Astyanax mexicanus: one gene and its partner. The protein of the gene in region 1 interacts with the protein of each later gene in a pairwise test. Links are inferred from orthologs where the notes say so. Each region holds a gene or a part of one and is shown on either strand. Other genes may lie near its edges.

Region 1 (7,993 bases):
AGAGACTGCGCAGACCAGCTCTTGCCTGAAGACCGCCACAATCATCCCAGTCCCAGTGCTCCGCAGTGACAGGTCTGAATGACTACTGGCCAGTAGCCCTCACTCTCCCCCACCATAATCCTCAGCACAGGGCTGTGTGTTGAGCTGCCTCCTGTTCACACTGCTCACAGTGGAGGATCTGCGGTGGAAGTGGTCGACAGTTCCAGGTGCTTGGATGTACACATGAGCAGCAACCTCACCTGAAGCAACAACACTTCCACTCTGGTCAGGAAGGCACATCAGCAGCTCGTCTTTCTCAGGAGGCTGAGACGAGCTGGACTTGGAAGCACACCTCCTTCTACAGATGTGTGGTGGAGAGCGTTGTGTACTCCAGCATCACCGTGTGGTACGGGAGCTGCTCTGCTGCAGACAGGAAAGCTCTACAGAGGGTGGTAAAAGCTGCACAGAAGATTGTTGGAGTCAACCTCCCCAGCACCACAGACATCTACATCTCCAGATGCAGGAAAAGGGCCACCTGTATCAGGAAGGATCCCACCCACCCAGCACACGCTCCCCTCAGGCCGGAGGCTGCGGAGCATCAAGTGCAAAACAACCAGACTCAGAAACAGCTTCATTCCAGAAGCTGTAAGACTCTTAAACTCCACCTAAACAACACACTGCACTTACACTTTACAAGGACAATTACTGTTTACAAACACTGTCACCTTAAACCGCACTGAGACACTTTATCTTGTACTGTTATCTTATCTTGTACTTCCATTATCATGCTGCTATAAGCACACTTGCATTCTGGACTTCATGTTGCTGCTACCTTTTTTTTACCCAACAGGAAAAGAACTTGCAAACATTAAAAAAGAACAATAAAAATATTCTGGGCTTGTTTTAGCCACAATGGATGTGGAGAGAGAGAGCAGTTTTTTTTACAGGATCAATTTTTTTTCCAAGTAATCCTTTATCAACTTGAAGGACAAATAGATTGTCAATCTTTCTGTTGTATAACTATAGTTTTATTGCACGGTAATCTGTTAATATGATTAAAGTAAGCCATGTCACCACAAGACATGATATTTGGTAGATTAAAAATCTGAATAGATCTAGAATATAAATAAAAATTTAAAAAGCTGTACAGCGGAATAGGATTTGCAGTGTATGTATGTCTAAATACACAACAGCATGTTAAAATGAGTTTATACATTTTATTTTATTTAGTAAATCTAAATAATTTTTACTCAGGCATTTAGTACACGATTTTAATCAATTTTCTCCAGATACTGAGTAAATATAAATTATTTTTCTTTAGATACGGAGTAAATATTAATATATTTTCTGAAACAAATTAGTTTGTGTTTAATAGTGTAAATAGAGTTATATTAACTCAAAAATGGCCATGCTATTACTAAATCCAACACATTTTTAACACTGTTTGCATTTTTTACAGTGTGGGCCTTCAGAATATGATGGAGTTGAATATGTAAGCTAAAAGAAGTAGCCATAATTTCATATTTAGCCAAGACAACAAATGGTATTTACTACATTGTAAAACTACACATTTCTACAGTGTTTCTTATTCTTTATTTTCTCCTAAACATATGTTCACTATTATCTATTATAATTTCATATGAATTTAATTTTGTTTATATTGATTAAAAAATCTCTGAACTAAGGTTGGGGGACTTGTGGGACAACTAAACAACAAACAATATTAGTTTGTCCGCTCCGAGGAAGTATGATACAGCACCAGGATATAGTGCACTATTTCTGCAATAGCGAGCGTCAGAGGATATCAATTCAGAGGTCCTTCAAGTTTCTGCTATGGAGAGAGGGAATCCACTTAACATGTATTCGTTCATTGCTCTTCTAGTAATCCACAGTAAACAGACCATACGATGTTTAAAACATCAGCGCCGACATGGACAACAAAACCGAAAATCAACTAAAACTATAATTAAAATTGATTATAGTAGGTCTAAAATGATGACAATCTTTAATAGTAAAATGTGTGTCAGATCCCGAGAGCTCCATCGTGTAGGGCTAAATTACTGAATTAAACATCAAAATAGATTTTCTCCATCCATAAACTGAAACACAAAGATTTGTAGACCAAATTTCCATGTTTACAAAACTTTCTGGGTATTTTCTATTTTTCCAAAGTTTTTCCAGGCTTGGAAATCGCCATTTTCAAGTGTGTGTATGTGTGTTTGTGTTTATATATTTTGTTTTACAAAGTGAAAATAAATAAATATTTTGCTAATCGGTCAAACACTACAATCTACTGGCGTAACATTGGTATTGCAACTTCTTCGGGTGGACTGGAAAAGTCGATGAGGAAAAACAACCTTTCTTTCATTGCCTGCTAGGTATGGGTTAATTCTGGAATTTTGGCATAGAAGTAACGTTTGTTAAAAGGCTTTGAACGTTTGGCGCTTTTCTACACTTTGTTTTATGCACATGGTACTTGCCACTAGTTATAATAATATTATGAATAATACACTACAAGAAAACAGTACAGCTATAATAGAATAAAAAATAGATACACATTTTTAAACCGCTGTTTTTATGGTTTGATTAGCTGTTAACTAATTAACTTGGCTAAAACGTAGCTAGCTAACTGCCAAACCAAAGAACCGGTTAGGTTAACTAGACGGGACAACGATGCTAGCTAGTTTGCTACAGTAGGGCCCCTGAATATAAGTAGGTTAACTAACCTACATAATTAAACGTGAAATATTTATATTTGTAAACGTTACATTTACAATAAGCGCTGTTTTTGCAAGGACTCAATTCCGTATTACTGTTAGCTACAAAGGACCTAGCTAGCCCAACTAATCAAATCAGTGGGTGTAAAACTGGCGACTTACCACACGCGTACACAGCCGCCCACGACGCTGTACAACCACTCTAAATACAAAATCAATCTTCAGAATTCAAATTCTGAGGGAAAGCACAAACTAGCTGGCTATCCATGTATACATTCTCGAGGTCGACGCGCGTTAAAGTTGATACTTCCGTTTGCATACAAAAAAAGCCTAAAGCAAACTTCTCCGATTTCCAGCTCATCTATCTTACCTTTTCATGTAATATGTAGAACGTAGTTTCCACACGCAGCTGTTAGAAGCAAGCCACACTTCCGCAGATCTACAAAAAACACTATACCTTTACGGAGCAATTTGCAACAAGGACCCCGGGTGGGTGGACAAACGGAAGGGGGGGGGGGGGGGGGTGGTGTGTCACTTCAAGTTAAAAGTCATATTTAAAGTGGAAATCCTGCAGTTGTTGTGATAGGAAACATGTGTCACAACAAAGAGAACAATTTTAAATACTCTTCAAACCCACTATTGAGTTTTTAACATGTCTTCTAACAGACCTCCTAACTCTTAGCATTATTTGTGTCATACAGTGACCTGCATAAATTCATGAATTTTTAGACCCCTTCAAGACCTAAAATAAATATCTATATATCAGATCCACAACTATTTAGTGCAATAATTTAAATGAGCTTTAAGAGGTCTTAGACTTTTCATATATTATTCACCACTAAACAATTCTGATTCATTAAGTTTCTTTTAAATATAAAACACTACTGACATCTACTGATTCAGACTACATCCCTAACATTAAATGAATGCTTTAAAAAAAATAATAATAATAATAATAAAAAAACAACGCACACACACTCGCCCTTTAAACAGTCTCTTAAATCATATCATATTTGGTACAAATGCCACAGCATACTGAAAGAGTTGAAGTGCTCCACAAGAGCCTAGCAACCCCCTGGCATATGTTAGCATCTACACTTCAGTTTAATATTCAAGAACGAAAAATAATTTATCGTTATGGAACAGCATTGTGAAATAGCAGTAAATTCTCAACGAAGTACTACTGACTACAGTGGTTAAATTATCCTAATGACTAACTAACCACACAGAGTTTAAAAAAAAAGACAAGGAGTGTACATGTTTAGAAGTTTATTTGTAACGTTATGAGAACATCAGATATGTTCACATCCAATATGCAAGGTACATGAAAACAGCAGGCCATGAATGCAGATGTAGAGATCTCCTGTAGACAGAGAAAAAAAAAAAGAGCACAAAAATAAAATTACTGTGTGTAACCAGTAGCGGTAACCTCGTAGTCTGGAATTTTATGGAAAGGCTTTGAAAATGGTGTACAATTATCTGAATGTTTAATTGGAATGAGTCACCTGGGGTGTAAAGTCATCCCCAGAAGACACTCAAGGTAAACTTAACATATAGCCCCCACCACCCCCCGCTCTTTTAATTAGCTACCCAATATTAATTGTTAATAATTAACTTGATTGGTAACCTGCTGAATAGGCAATATATGCAACTGTTTTTGTGATATCACAAAACAAATTTCAAAAACCCTGTTCAAAAGAGCTGGACACTCACCTTATTCACCTGTAGGCCTCACACTTTCAAAAACACCAGCTTCTCTCATGGCACTGAACTCCTTCATGGCATCATAGTTCTTGTAGAAGTCAGCATAAGCCTGCTTCCGGGGTTCTGTTACTGTGTACTACATTAGAATAAGAAAACAATTATTTGGACAAGCTGGGCTCAGTTGCATACAACACCTTAAGTTTACCTTAAGAGTAAACATAACAGAAGAATTCCCTTACTCAAGTGAATTAGGTTTGTTGCATACATTTTCTCAGATATATCACTTAACAAAAAAAAAAAAAATAATAATAAAAATACTTAAGGGATTATTTAAAGGAAATTCAACACTTAAGGGAACAGTAATGACTTTATGAATATTCCATTAAGACAGCCCTAAAGTAACACGAAAGTAATTTTTTCCCAAATCACACTCATATTTAGGCAGTGTTTCAGGACCGCAATAAGGGTAAAAATTCACAACTGGGTCTCACAAACGGTTAGACCAAACTATCAGGACTACATAACTGACCTTAAATGAAACTGCTGCCAATAGGGACAGAGTAAAAGCAATAGGCAAGTGAAACCTCAACCTCTTGCCAAGGAGACCCCTCATCACAGGCTTTGGAAGAGACATGGTGAAATACCTGGAGAGACATATTTTAAAATACAGCTCTTAAGACAGGCAGGAGTTTAACAACTTATATATATATATAAAATTGGAATATGAATGTGAAAGGAATTGTACATTTTATGGACTACGTGCAGTTCTAGACACTTCTGAAAAGGGGTTGGATAACGTCAATATAAAAAACTAAATAAGCAAAAACTATAAAAAACTGACTCATTATTGTCCGAACCATCTTAAATGCAGTGGAACAGCCAACAACTGTCGAAAAGGTCAACTATATGCTCCAGTTCTACATAAGACTTCTGATGTTAATATAATAACCACTAAATGCGTATTTTAAAATGTAAATATGACCGAGTTGTTGAAACGCTACCAGAAGCTAGGTTAGCTAAGCTAGGCTGTTAACAGAATGGACATTAGCATTAGGGAGCTCTGCTGCTCACGCTGAAGAGAGAATGCACTCAGAACTGGCTTATAACGAAAAGTTATATTTACCTTAAAAAATGAAGAACACAGTGATAAAGAACAGTTCACTCTGAGCTAGAGAAGGGAAAGGAGTTCTAACCTCAGCTTCTGTCTTCACGACCTTCAGTGGAACGACCGTCACAACCTGATTTCAACCGGAAACCTGACTTCTTCTTCTTCTTCTTCTTCTTCTTCTTTCAGGTTTATGGCGGATGGCAGACCAACTGAAGGTGCATTACCGCCACCTACTGAGCAGGAGTATGAAGTGTGATTTCGGGAAGTGACATGGCCAATAATAAACAAAATGTAGGTGAAAGGAAATTCATAAATAAGTACATAAAAATAAAAGAAAGTAAACGAGAGAGAGAAAAAAAAAACTAAATAAAGTAAAATATACCAATAGCTTTCAAATATTGAAAAACCAGTTTGTGAACCGAACCCATCCCTGCCCCATAAGAAAGCAATCCTGTCAAAGAAAAGTCTTTGTGACCCTTGTCTTTAAGAGAAGAAAACAAAATTTTCCTTTGTACAGCATATTTATTGCAACAAAAAGAACATGGTCCACGGTTTCCCTCTGCGGACAGTGGCGACAAAGCCCTGTGGAGTGTTTCTGTATTATTTGCAAAGAGGCTTTCAGCATACTGTGACCTACTCGGAGCCTTGTTAGTACAATTTCCTGCCTCCGACAGTACCCTCCACTCCCACCCAAACCAACTCTCGGTTGTATTGCAAACAAATGCCTCCCCTTCGGTTCATGTTCTAACATGTTGTTTTACAACCACTCTTGCCTCAGCTTTGCTAAGAGGGATATCAAGGTCACATCTATTTTTCTTCAGGCATTGTTTAGCAGCTTTGTCAGCAGTCTCATTACCGTCCACCCCTACATGTGCTGGAACCCATAAAAACTGAACTAAAATAGTCTGCATGTGTAAACGAAATAATGCCTGAGATATTTTTAAAATTAGGTCTTGTCTACATTTAGATTTGCCAGACTGGATGCTTTGTAAAGCAGACAAAGAATCTGAACAAATCACCATCCTCATTGGGCAAACATCCTCAGCCCACTGCAATGCTAAAAGAATGGCGACAAGCTCGGAGGAAAATACAGATAGGTTATCAGACAGTCGCCTACTAATAACCACATGAAATTCTGGTACAAAGACCGCTGCTGATGTGGAACCCACAGTAGGATCCTTTGACCCATCAGTATACACCTGCAGAGTACCATAATAATTAAGTGCCAGATGTTGTTCTACCATAACAGCTGCACTTCCTGCATCACTCCATTTTTTATTAAGGAGGGAAAAATAAACACTAGGCAATGGGAACATCCAAGGAGTTGCTCAGACACCCAAAACTCCTTGAGGAACCATGAAGAGGAGCACTGCAATCATGTAAAACAGACACAGCTGGATGGCTCTCTATGTGCCCCTTCAGGTTGGACCAATATACTGTAGACAATGCAAGTCTTCTAAAATGCAAAGGCATTTCTCCTGTTTCAACCTGTAGAGAAGCCACTGGGGAGGATCTAACTGCACCACAACACAATCTCAGTGCTTGTGCTTGTATTACATCAAGTAATTTTAGGTTTGACTCAGCAGCTGATCTATAGGCCATGCAGCCATAGTCAAAAACCGATCTAATTAGAGCATCATAAATGCACTGGAGAGAGGAACGGTCAGCCCCCCAGTCAGTTCCTGCCAAGCATTTAAGGACATTTAATCCATTTTTGCATTTATCTATGATCTTCATAATGTGATGCTTCCAGGACAATTTCGAGTCCATCCACAGACCAAGAAACCTGACTACCTTCACCTGTTCAAGAGTCTGACCATACAGTTTAAGCCCAAGTTCATTTTTTTGATCTCTTAGAAAAATAGATGATCTGGGATTTAGCCACAGATAACTTGAATTCATTTGCCCAGTGTTCAACCCCAACAATTGCCTCCTGCATCTTTCGCTTAACAGAAGATAGATTCCTCCCTCTCTTCCACAGAGCCCCATCATCTGCATACAAAGATGCTACGTCAGGACTAACCCCAGAAAAGATGTCATTGATCATAATGTTAAATAAAATAGGGCTACATACACTGCCTTGCGGAGTCCCATTTTCAATAGAATACACTTTAGAACAAGAAGTACCCACCCTGACCTGTATGGACCTATTCATTAAAAAATCCATTACCCAGTTGTACATCCTCCCTCCGATTCCGAGCACAGACAGCTTAATTAGCAGACCTTCTTGCCACAGCATATCATAAGCCTTTTCAATATCAAAAAATACAGCAACAACCACTTCTTTATGAAGCTGTACCCTCCTGATATCTGCTTCTAAACCTAGGATTGAGTCCATCGTCATTCTGCCCCTACAAAAACCAGTCTGATAAGGAGAAAAGGTATTCTGACGCTCGAGAAAGTAGGACAACCTTTCTGTTATCATGCGTTCCATAAGCTTACTTAAATGTGAAGTTAAAGTATTAGGCCTATAACCAGCTGTATC
Region 2 (8,154 bases), on another chromosome or scaffold:
TGCTCCCCACCTGTCGTGGAGTTGTACTGCTCCATTTTACTCCCAAATTTTACCAGCCTAGAGAGAGAACGCATTTTTTTTTTTTTTTTTTTAGCATATATCCATTATAACTAAATAATAGATGTAAATATGTATATTATATCAATAAAACGGCAATAAACGAGTACAAATGCAATTTGAGAGCTGTATTTTTTTTATCAGGGGTGACCAATCTTATCTGGAAATGGCTGGTCTATGACCAGCTTTCAGCCCAAAATGACTTCAAATGACATCACATTCTAACTAGTTTAGCTAAGCTTTTACTAGGGATGCACAATGACATCAGAATTACATCAGTATTTTACAGGAGAAACCTTTCATTATATTGTTTGTATGGAGTTTGAAAGATTGAAAGCTAAAATGCAAGGTATATAATTGTTTCATTTATTATATAAGAAGTTATACTGGGGTGTCTAGTCTCTTTGTGAGTGTAAAATGTGTATATCAGTTTAGGAAGATATGTAAGTATGTAATATTAGATATTGGCATTAGCCCAGAATTCCTACATCAGTGCATCCCTACCTTTTAGTGGTAAAATGTGCATTGCATGAATTGGCAAATTTATTTTTCAGATGCTAATTAGAAAATTAACCCCACAAATGACTAGTCAAAATCACATTAAAAGATAATCACATTAATCAGAATGGCTTTGTTAATCTGTAGTAGGGGTGTGTCATAGCATATCATACACAATACATCGTGCTAGTAACATTGTGACTTTAAGAAATATCCACAGTAGGGTAACAGAAGCGTTCTGCTTTGAAAACAGTCTATTGTTTACTGTGAGTCTTTATGGGTATGCTGCATAACATACACAATATATCATGACACAGTAATATTGTGACTTAATAAATATAGTGGGAACAAGATCTTAATGCATGCCCACAACTTAAGGCATGGGAACAAGAATTAAGTCATGGGGACTTATGGGCTTCATAAAAAATTAAGTTTTCATTAGTAAAACGTTTTACATGAGACCTATAAAGTAAAAACTGAATTGGGACTTGTAGCTACCACTGTTGAATGAAGCTGCAAGAGCTCAATAAACTGGCAGCAAATCAATTATAACAAATTATAAAATGTACTTTACCAGGTAAAATGTTAAAGTTTAGCCAGCTATCCTACCCTAGTTTGTTTGTTTGCAAGTCCATGATTCTCACAAACACTGAGGCTCTGTTTGGGCTCGCAAATAATATAACTACAACATTCTGCAAAATAGGACCTTGTATAGTATAGTACTTCTTGAGAACAATATTGCAAGAGCATCCCGATTGCTCGATCTTTGTGCTCAGTATACTTAGCAGTAGGGGTGTGCCATATCGTATCGTACGTGATAATATCGCCAAAAATGTTGAATATCGTGAACGATATTATACCCTGAAATATTGTGCCATATCACCTACACCTTATTAGCACATCAAAGTACCACTTTTTTGTTGTTTTTAGCTAAATAAAAATTCACATTCATTTCTCATTTCCCATTATATATCTACTAGAGCCAGATTATATCTGTCTAGTATAGGGGTGGGCGATATGGCTCTAAAATAATATCACGATATTTCAGGGTATTTTTGCGATAACGATATACTTGGCGATATAGGAAAACAGAAAAATAATTAATTAATTTCAGAAATATAGTATAATAGTATAACAGCATAATCATAATGTGGCAAAATAAATAACATAGCATAAAATAATATAATGCAGCAAATAATATTGCAGAATATTTAGTGCATGCATATAAACTACAAACTAAAACAATTATACAATAAATAAACCTAAAGCTTCACAGTAAATAGACTACTTTTAAGACAGAACATCTCTATTATCACAATATGGATTTTTAATATCACGATATTTCTGTGTCACGATATATTGTATACGATATAATATTGCCCACCCCTACTGCTAAGTCTAGTGAGCACAAAGACAGACCAATTAGGATGCTCTTGCTTTATTGTTCCCAAAAGGACCTGGTATAAAATGTCATAATTTGCAGGATCTTTTAGCTATATGATTTGTGAGCCTCACTGAGCAACTGTTTTTTTAGTATTTGTGATAATCATTGAATTCACAGGAGAGGTGGGACGCCTGCTATCATTTTAATATAGAGCCTCTGGAGGGATTCAGACTTACAGAATAACACAAACATGATATAACCTTAAAACACAGCTTGTAATTAGGATAGCTAGCTGGCTAACCTTAACATTTACCTTACCTTTTAAAGGTAACTTAGCTAGCAGTATTCTCAATAGGTAAAACCATTTCTTTCATAGTGCTTGGTTTCAGTTTAGATTTGCAGCTCAATTTCAGAGTTCAAAAACAAGCTAGGGTTAGATATGAACAAATTATAAAAGGTAACGTTTTTTAATTACATTTAAAGGTAAAGTACATGTTAAGGTCAGGCAGTTAACTAACCTATCTAAGTTATTTGTTAGCTGTGCTCTGAGGTTAGGTCATGTTTATGTTAGCTAGAGTTAGCTTAGCTAGCTAAACAGGCTGTTGTTTTTGAAGCTACTTGAGCTAACCATGCTAATTTCAGACAGCACACTAAACAGGTCCGTTAGCTGGGTGAAGTGAGAGATTTTTTGTAGTTTTTGTATCTTATTTTTTATATTTTTCCCTCTCAGACCGACTGAATATCTAGTTAAGCTAGGTTAGCTAATAACGCGCAGGGGCGCACTCGCCCCCCGGCCCGCCGCAGTAAGCGGGCTGCAGCCCGGGCTAGACAGGCAGGCAGCTCGCCAGGCTAAGCTAGGCTAGCTAAGCTCCTTTGTCTGCGGGCTGCTGGAGCTCCAGCGCTAAACCCTCCATTTTAGCCGCGTTAGTGTCTCCGAGCCGCCGGCCGCCCTGCTCTCGCAGCGCCGGGCTGATCTCAGTATTTAGCACATTTACTCATTTGGTTGGTCACTGATAAACCAATCCCCGCTGTCAGCTCCGCCGCCCGGGAGCCGCGCGCTCTTTACCGTGTCTCTGTTGTCCGGTGTCCCTCTGATTGGCTCCAGTACGGCGCGCAGAAACCCAATCACCACCGCTCTCCCACAAAATGGCGCAAATGAGGCGCGCGGGGGGCAGGAGCTTCAAGGAGGGAGGAGGAGGAGGCGGCGCGCGCAGGCACGCAGAGGTGACGCGCATGGGAGGGGGGCGCGTGCGCAGCGGGAGCGCGCATTAAGTGTGGGAAATGAGAGATGGGGCTTAATAACAATTGAAATACTTAATAACGTTACTATTTTGGCTACGTATTAGGGTGATTCTCACGAAATCAGACTAATGAGGTGGCATTAAGGAGTGTGATGAACAGGTAAATGCTATCAATTTGGGAAACACTGGTTTATAAACATCTCATCAAAGGCTATATTGGAAGTGATTAAAAGTAGACATTGTGATATTTTAAATTATGTATTTTTTATAATTTAGTGTGAAATTCTCAGTACCGCAACGCGTCCATTGCTGAATCTCGGCTCTTCAATTACACAATTTTAATATTTAAAATAAATAAATAATAAAAAACTTAAATGTATCTCATAAAGTAAATTGTTACAGTCAATAAAAATGTATTACTTGGAATTCATTGGTAAAAGAAAAGAAAATATTTAGAAAAATAACTTTGGTCAGAACCAATGTTCTCAGCCTCCGCAACAATTTTCAAGCACCATTTAAGACCACAAGGAACAGAAAAAAAAACAGCCATTTTGAGAGGGGGGACACCTTTTAGTATGACACCCAAGATGGCTACCAGGTAAGCACCTAATTTTATACCTCTCCAGATAAATGTTAAAAACTTGGTTGTCAGCGAGCATACACAACTTTTTGTTTCTCATTACCGAAACAGCTAGTTTTTAATGTTTAAAAAAATGAAAATGTTATTGTGTTTTGGGAATTTTTAAGGTTTTTAAAGTCTAAATACAAAAAGCTAGCAAAAGTTTAGCCAGGCATCATGGTGGCCCCACAGAGATCAAAGAAGGTTAAGGTCCCTCATACTCCGCAACAGCCTTCTCATACACCGCAACAATTTAAGGCCTGTTGCGGTAGAGAGATTCACTGTTGCGGTAAAGAGAAATTAATGTTTTAAGTGACATGAACTTATATATATATATATATATATATATATATATTGTTTCATAAAAAAGCCTTTATTTACTTATAATAAACAATATATAAAACAATACATGATGCAATTTCAGATAAAAAACAGATTTATGTAGCAGGGCAGTGACACCCATATAACTTCCGCATAAGATATAAAAAATAATATATAAAAATAATATATATATATATATATATATATATATATATATATATATATATATATATATATATATATATAATATATAATTTTCATATATATAATATATACATTTCATGAAACAACTTTTATTGTTATAAACTGTTAATAAAGGTTGTTTCATGAAATTTATTTTTATAAACTTTTATTGTTATAAACTGTTTATATGTATATATATATATATATATATATATATATATATATATATATATATATATATATATATATATATACACATTTTATGAAACAACCTTTATTAACAGTTTATAACAATAAAAGTTGTTTCATGAAATGTATATATTATATATATGAAAATTATATATATACACACATATATACATTTCATTAAACAACTTTCTTTAATTTTATCTTTAATTTTAATTTAGTTGCACATTGATGTTTACATTTTTCATGAGATTAATGCTTAATACAAAGATGTTTAATGAGATGTTGAATTGCTTGTTTCATACTTAAATATTTAATTTCAATTTAGTTGTACATTGATGTTTATATCTGTCATGAAATTAATACTTAATAAAAAAGTTGTTTTATGAGATGTTGAATTACTTATTTTGTATTTAAACATTCCATTTCAATTTAGTTATACAGTGATGTTTAAAGTTTTAAGGAATTTATGTCTAATGAGGTATGTTGAAATTTGTTTTATTAAAATACACAGTTCAAAATAGGATATTTTCACAGCTTGAGTCTTACTGAGATTAATTTTCAACAGCAAATACCACATTTTGTTCAATATTACTACTCCATACAAAACTCAAGAAGTACATCATTAGAATTTGTTATTTATTCACAGCATTCACACTCTGTGTTTGTTGTGTAAAGTGTTATTGTTAATTAAGTAGGAATCCTTGTAATGACTCTCTTTACCGAAACATTGACTCTCTTTACCGAAACACCATTCTCTTTACCGCAACACATATTTATTTACTAATTATTTTACTGTTATAAAACAAATTCTAGTTTATAATGGTATTTGGATAAATTGTATTTCTTCATAGGTCATCTGTACTAAATAAGAAATTATACATGTAATTTTTCAGTTAAATATCCTGAAAAGACAGGACATGAATCATGAAATCTGTTGCGGTAATGAGACAAATCATAAAATAAAAAAAAATGGGAAACTTATAAATATAATATTTTCTGGGTTATATACACATATGAGCACAACTGTTAATAATATCTATTTAAAAAGTAACAAATGTGTAACTTTTAAACCATATCTGTTCTGTGTTATCATGTTGCGGTACTGAGAATGTGTGTGCTCTGACTGACTAAAATGGTGCAAAATATACAGAAAAAAATTATAAAATTAAAAAAAAAAAGTATTTCTAAAAAGTTCAGACCCTAGTCTTGCATAACAAAAAGAAATTTTATATTTAAATGCCTTTTGAAATTTTTCAAGTGTGAACCCTTTTAAATCTGTTTTTCGTGAGAATCACCCATTATATATAAATGTAGATTCTTTAAAAACACTCCAAACTGTTTAGTGTTTAAAATAATTTGGCTCTTGTAGCGAATATATGTATTCTTACAGCAGATTCTATCTAATTTACTTTTTATGTCTAATGTAATTTAATTTATTTGTTCTAAATGATAATTCAGATTGACAGACTCTGGTCTCTTGATTTTCAAATAAAATGCAAAAATAGACTGATATTCAGTGATAATTTGGAGAGCCATGTAATCTGCTGGTGTTGATCCACTGTGTTATATCAAGTCAGTACAAAAGTCAGTGCAGTTTTGTTTTCCCGCAAAATCTTACAGCACTTAATGCTTCCCTCTGCTGAAAAATTTTATGGCGATGTGGATTTCATTTTTCAGCAGGACTTGGCACACTGCCCATACTACCAGAAGTACCAATTGGTATGTTTGTCAAAATTCTAATTTTCGGAGAAACTGATTTTTGGATTTACACTGGCTGTAAGCCGTAATCATCAAAATAAAATAAATTAATGATAAAAAATAGATCATTCTGCGAGTAATAATTCTATATAATATATGAGTTTCACATTTTGAACTGAATTACAGAAATAAAGCAACTTTTCAATGATATTCTAATTTTTTTTTAGATTCACTAGTAATTTCAGTTGACGATCCAAAAATCCTGCTTCACATTCCAGATCAGCAGGGGGCGGTAATGAACCTGTAAGTAATGTATAGGTCTGCCTAAAGAAGAAGAAGAAGACTTCAGTGCGGTTGCTGAGCTGCGGGTTTTTGGAGTTAGATACAAGATTTTATCGAGTTATAATAACTTATCTCTCAGTATAGAGCGCGGGCTCAGGACAGGTAACGCCCTTTATTTTTAACACCTTATTTAGAGCTGATAATTCAGTCTACAGCGGGTTATCTTGCGGTGGTGAGCCGTGTGAAGAGGCTGAGCATGGCTTTTTCAATTAAATGACCCGGTCCACCTTAAACAGCGCAGCACTAACTTAACTGACAGATACTGAGCTATTTACAGTAACAGTGGCTCCTTTTTAAGGTGGTACGAGGAATTACAAAAATTAAGAAATAACCAAGCCATATTTATACTTTAATTATATTCGTACAACAGTATTACTGGATATTTTAAATATATGACCAAATAAGATACCTTGTCTACCTTAATAATAAAAATTATACAGCTCTTGAAAAAATTAGAAAGCACTTAAAATTATGTGTTTCTTTCTTACAACCAAAAGGAAGATGGATGATCACAAGCCGTCAAACCAAATTGAACTGCTTGAATTTTTGCACCAGGAGTGGCATAAAATTATCCAAAAGCAGTGTGTAAGACTGGTGAAGGAGAACGTGCCAAGATGCATGAAAGCTGTGATTACAAACCAGGGTTATTTCACCAAATATTGATTTCTGAACTCTGCATTTTTTTTTGCTATTTCGACAATATGACAATATTTTATTGGGAATTTAGGAGAAATATTCATACTTTGTTAGATGTTCAGTATTTCAGAGTAATGCCAATGAGGGAGAGAGTCTGATTTAAGAGTTTAGTCTTCTAGTCTTTTATAATAGTGTTTAGATAATAGAGCTGCACGGTACTGAAAAACACTGACATTGTGATTAGGGGTGTGCCATATCGTATCGTATGCAGTAATATTGACTAAAATTCTATACGATAAAGAAATCCATATTGTGATATCACAATATTCTTAAAATGATTCTATTTTGTATTTATTTGGTTATTTACTGTGTTTATTTTTAATGTCTGCATTGTTTATATACAGCACTAAACATTCTACACTTTATTTTTGTGGTAGATTTTTGTTGTTACATTACTTTTACATAATTGTTTGTTATATGTTGTATTTTGTTACATAATTATTTTATACAAACATTTTTTATTTCATCTGAATGTATGTAACTCATGATTATAATTGAGTTGAGTTAATGTTTATTTATTGTACAAGTCGATTAATGTACTTATCGTAACCGGCTTAAATAGAACTTGTATATGTATTACTGTTTTGTTGCAATAGTATATTCCTGAAAATTAGCATAGCCACCTTTTAAAGACCAGCTTGGACTGTCTGAAACCAGCTACCAGCTATATCTAGTCTTGAGTTGGATTTTTCAGCAGGCGTGTAATAATAATAATAATATTATTTATTTTTAATAAATTAGGTCACCATCACATTCAGTACAAGGACACTCTTGTCCACTGGTCAGCATGCTCAGCTCTTTGAGGCTGGTCCGCTGGATGAAGCTCGCTGCTTTTCCAGGACCTGGAATTGCACCAGTTCAATGCCACGCCAGCCATGATGCCCGCATGTGGATGAACTCTGCTGGGAGGCTGTCAGCTGCAGACA

Evidence for each region.
Region 2: the proteins of zc3h10 (region 1) and nfyal interact in binary tests that used the Homo sapiens proteins (3 or more experiments, as listed by UniProt). The two-hybrid records come from large-scale screens. The link is inferred for Astyanax mexicanus from reciprocal best matches to the Homo sapiens genes ZC3H10 and NFYA.

Annotation. Positions count from the first base shown.
Region 1 is NC_064412.1:44,327,398-44,335,390, reverse strand, and holds the start of zc3h10 (zinc finger CCCH domain-containing protein 10), read right to left. Parts: upstream 3,204-7,993; 5' UTR 3,067-3,203; intron 3,045-3,066; exon of another isoform or gene 2,859-3,044; intron 1-2,858. Other genes in the region: cytochrome c oxidase subunit 6C-1, read right to left, coding at 4,411-4,536, 4,930-5,034. UniProt on the Homo sapiens protein: Specific regulator of miRNA biogenesis. Binds, via the C3H1-type zinc finger domains, to the binding motif 5'-GCAGCGC-3' on microRNA pri-MIR143 and negatively regulates the processing to mature microRNA.
Region 2 is NC_064419.1:41,614,337-41,622,490, forward strand, and holds the start of nfyal (nuclear transcription factor Y, alpha, like), read right to left. Parts: upstream 3,138-8,154; 5' UTR 3,006-3,137; exon of another isoform or gene 2,935-3,005; intron 58-2,934; 5' UTR 36-57; coding exon 1-35. Other genes in the region: ngrn (neugrin), read left to right, coding at 8,016-8,154. UniProt on the Homo sapiens protein: Component of the sequence-specific heterotrimeric transcription factor (NF-Y) which specifically recognizes a 5'-CCAAT-3' box motif found in the promoters of its target genes.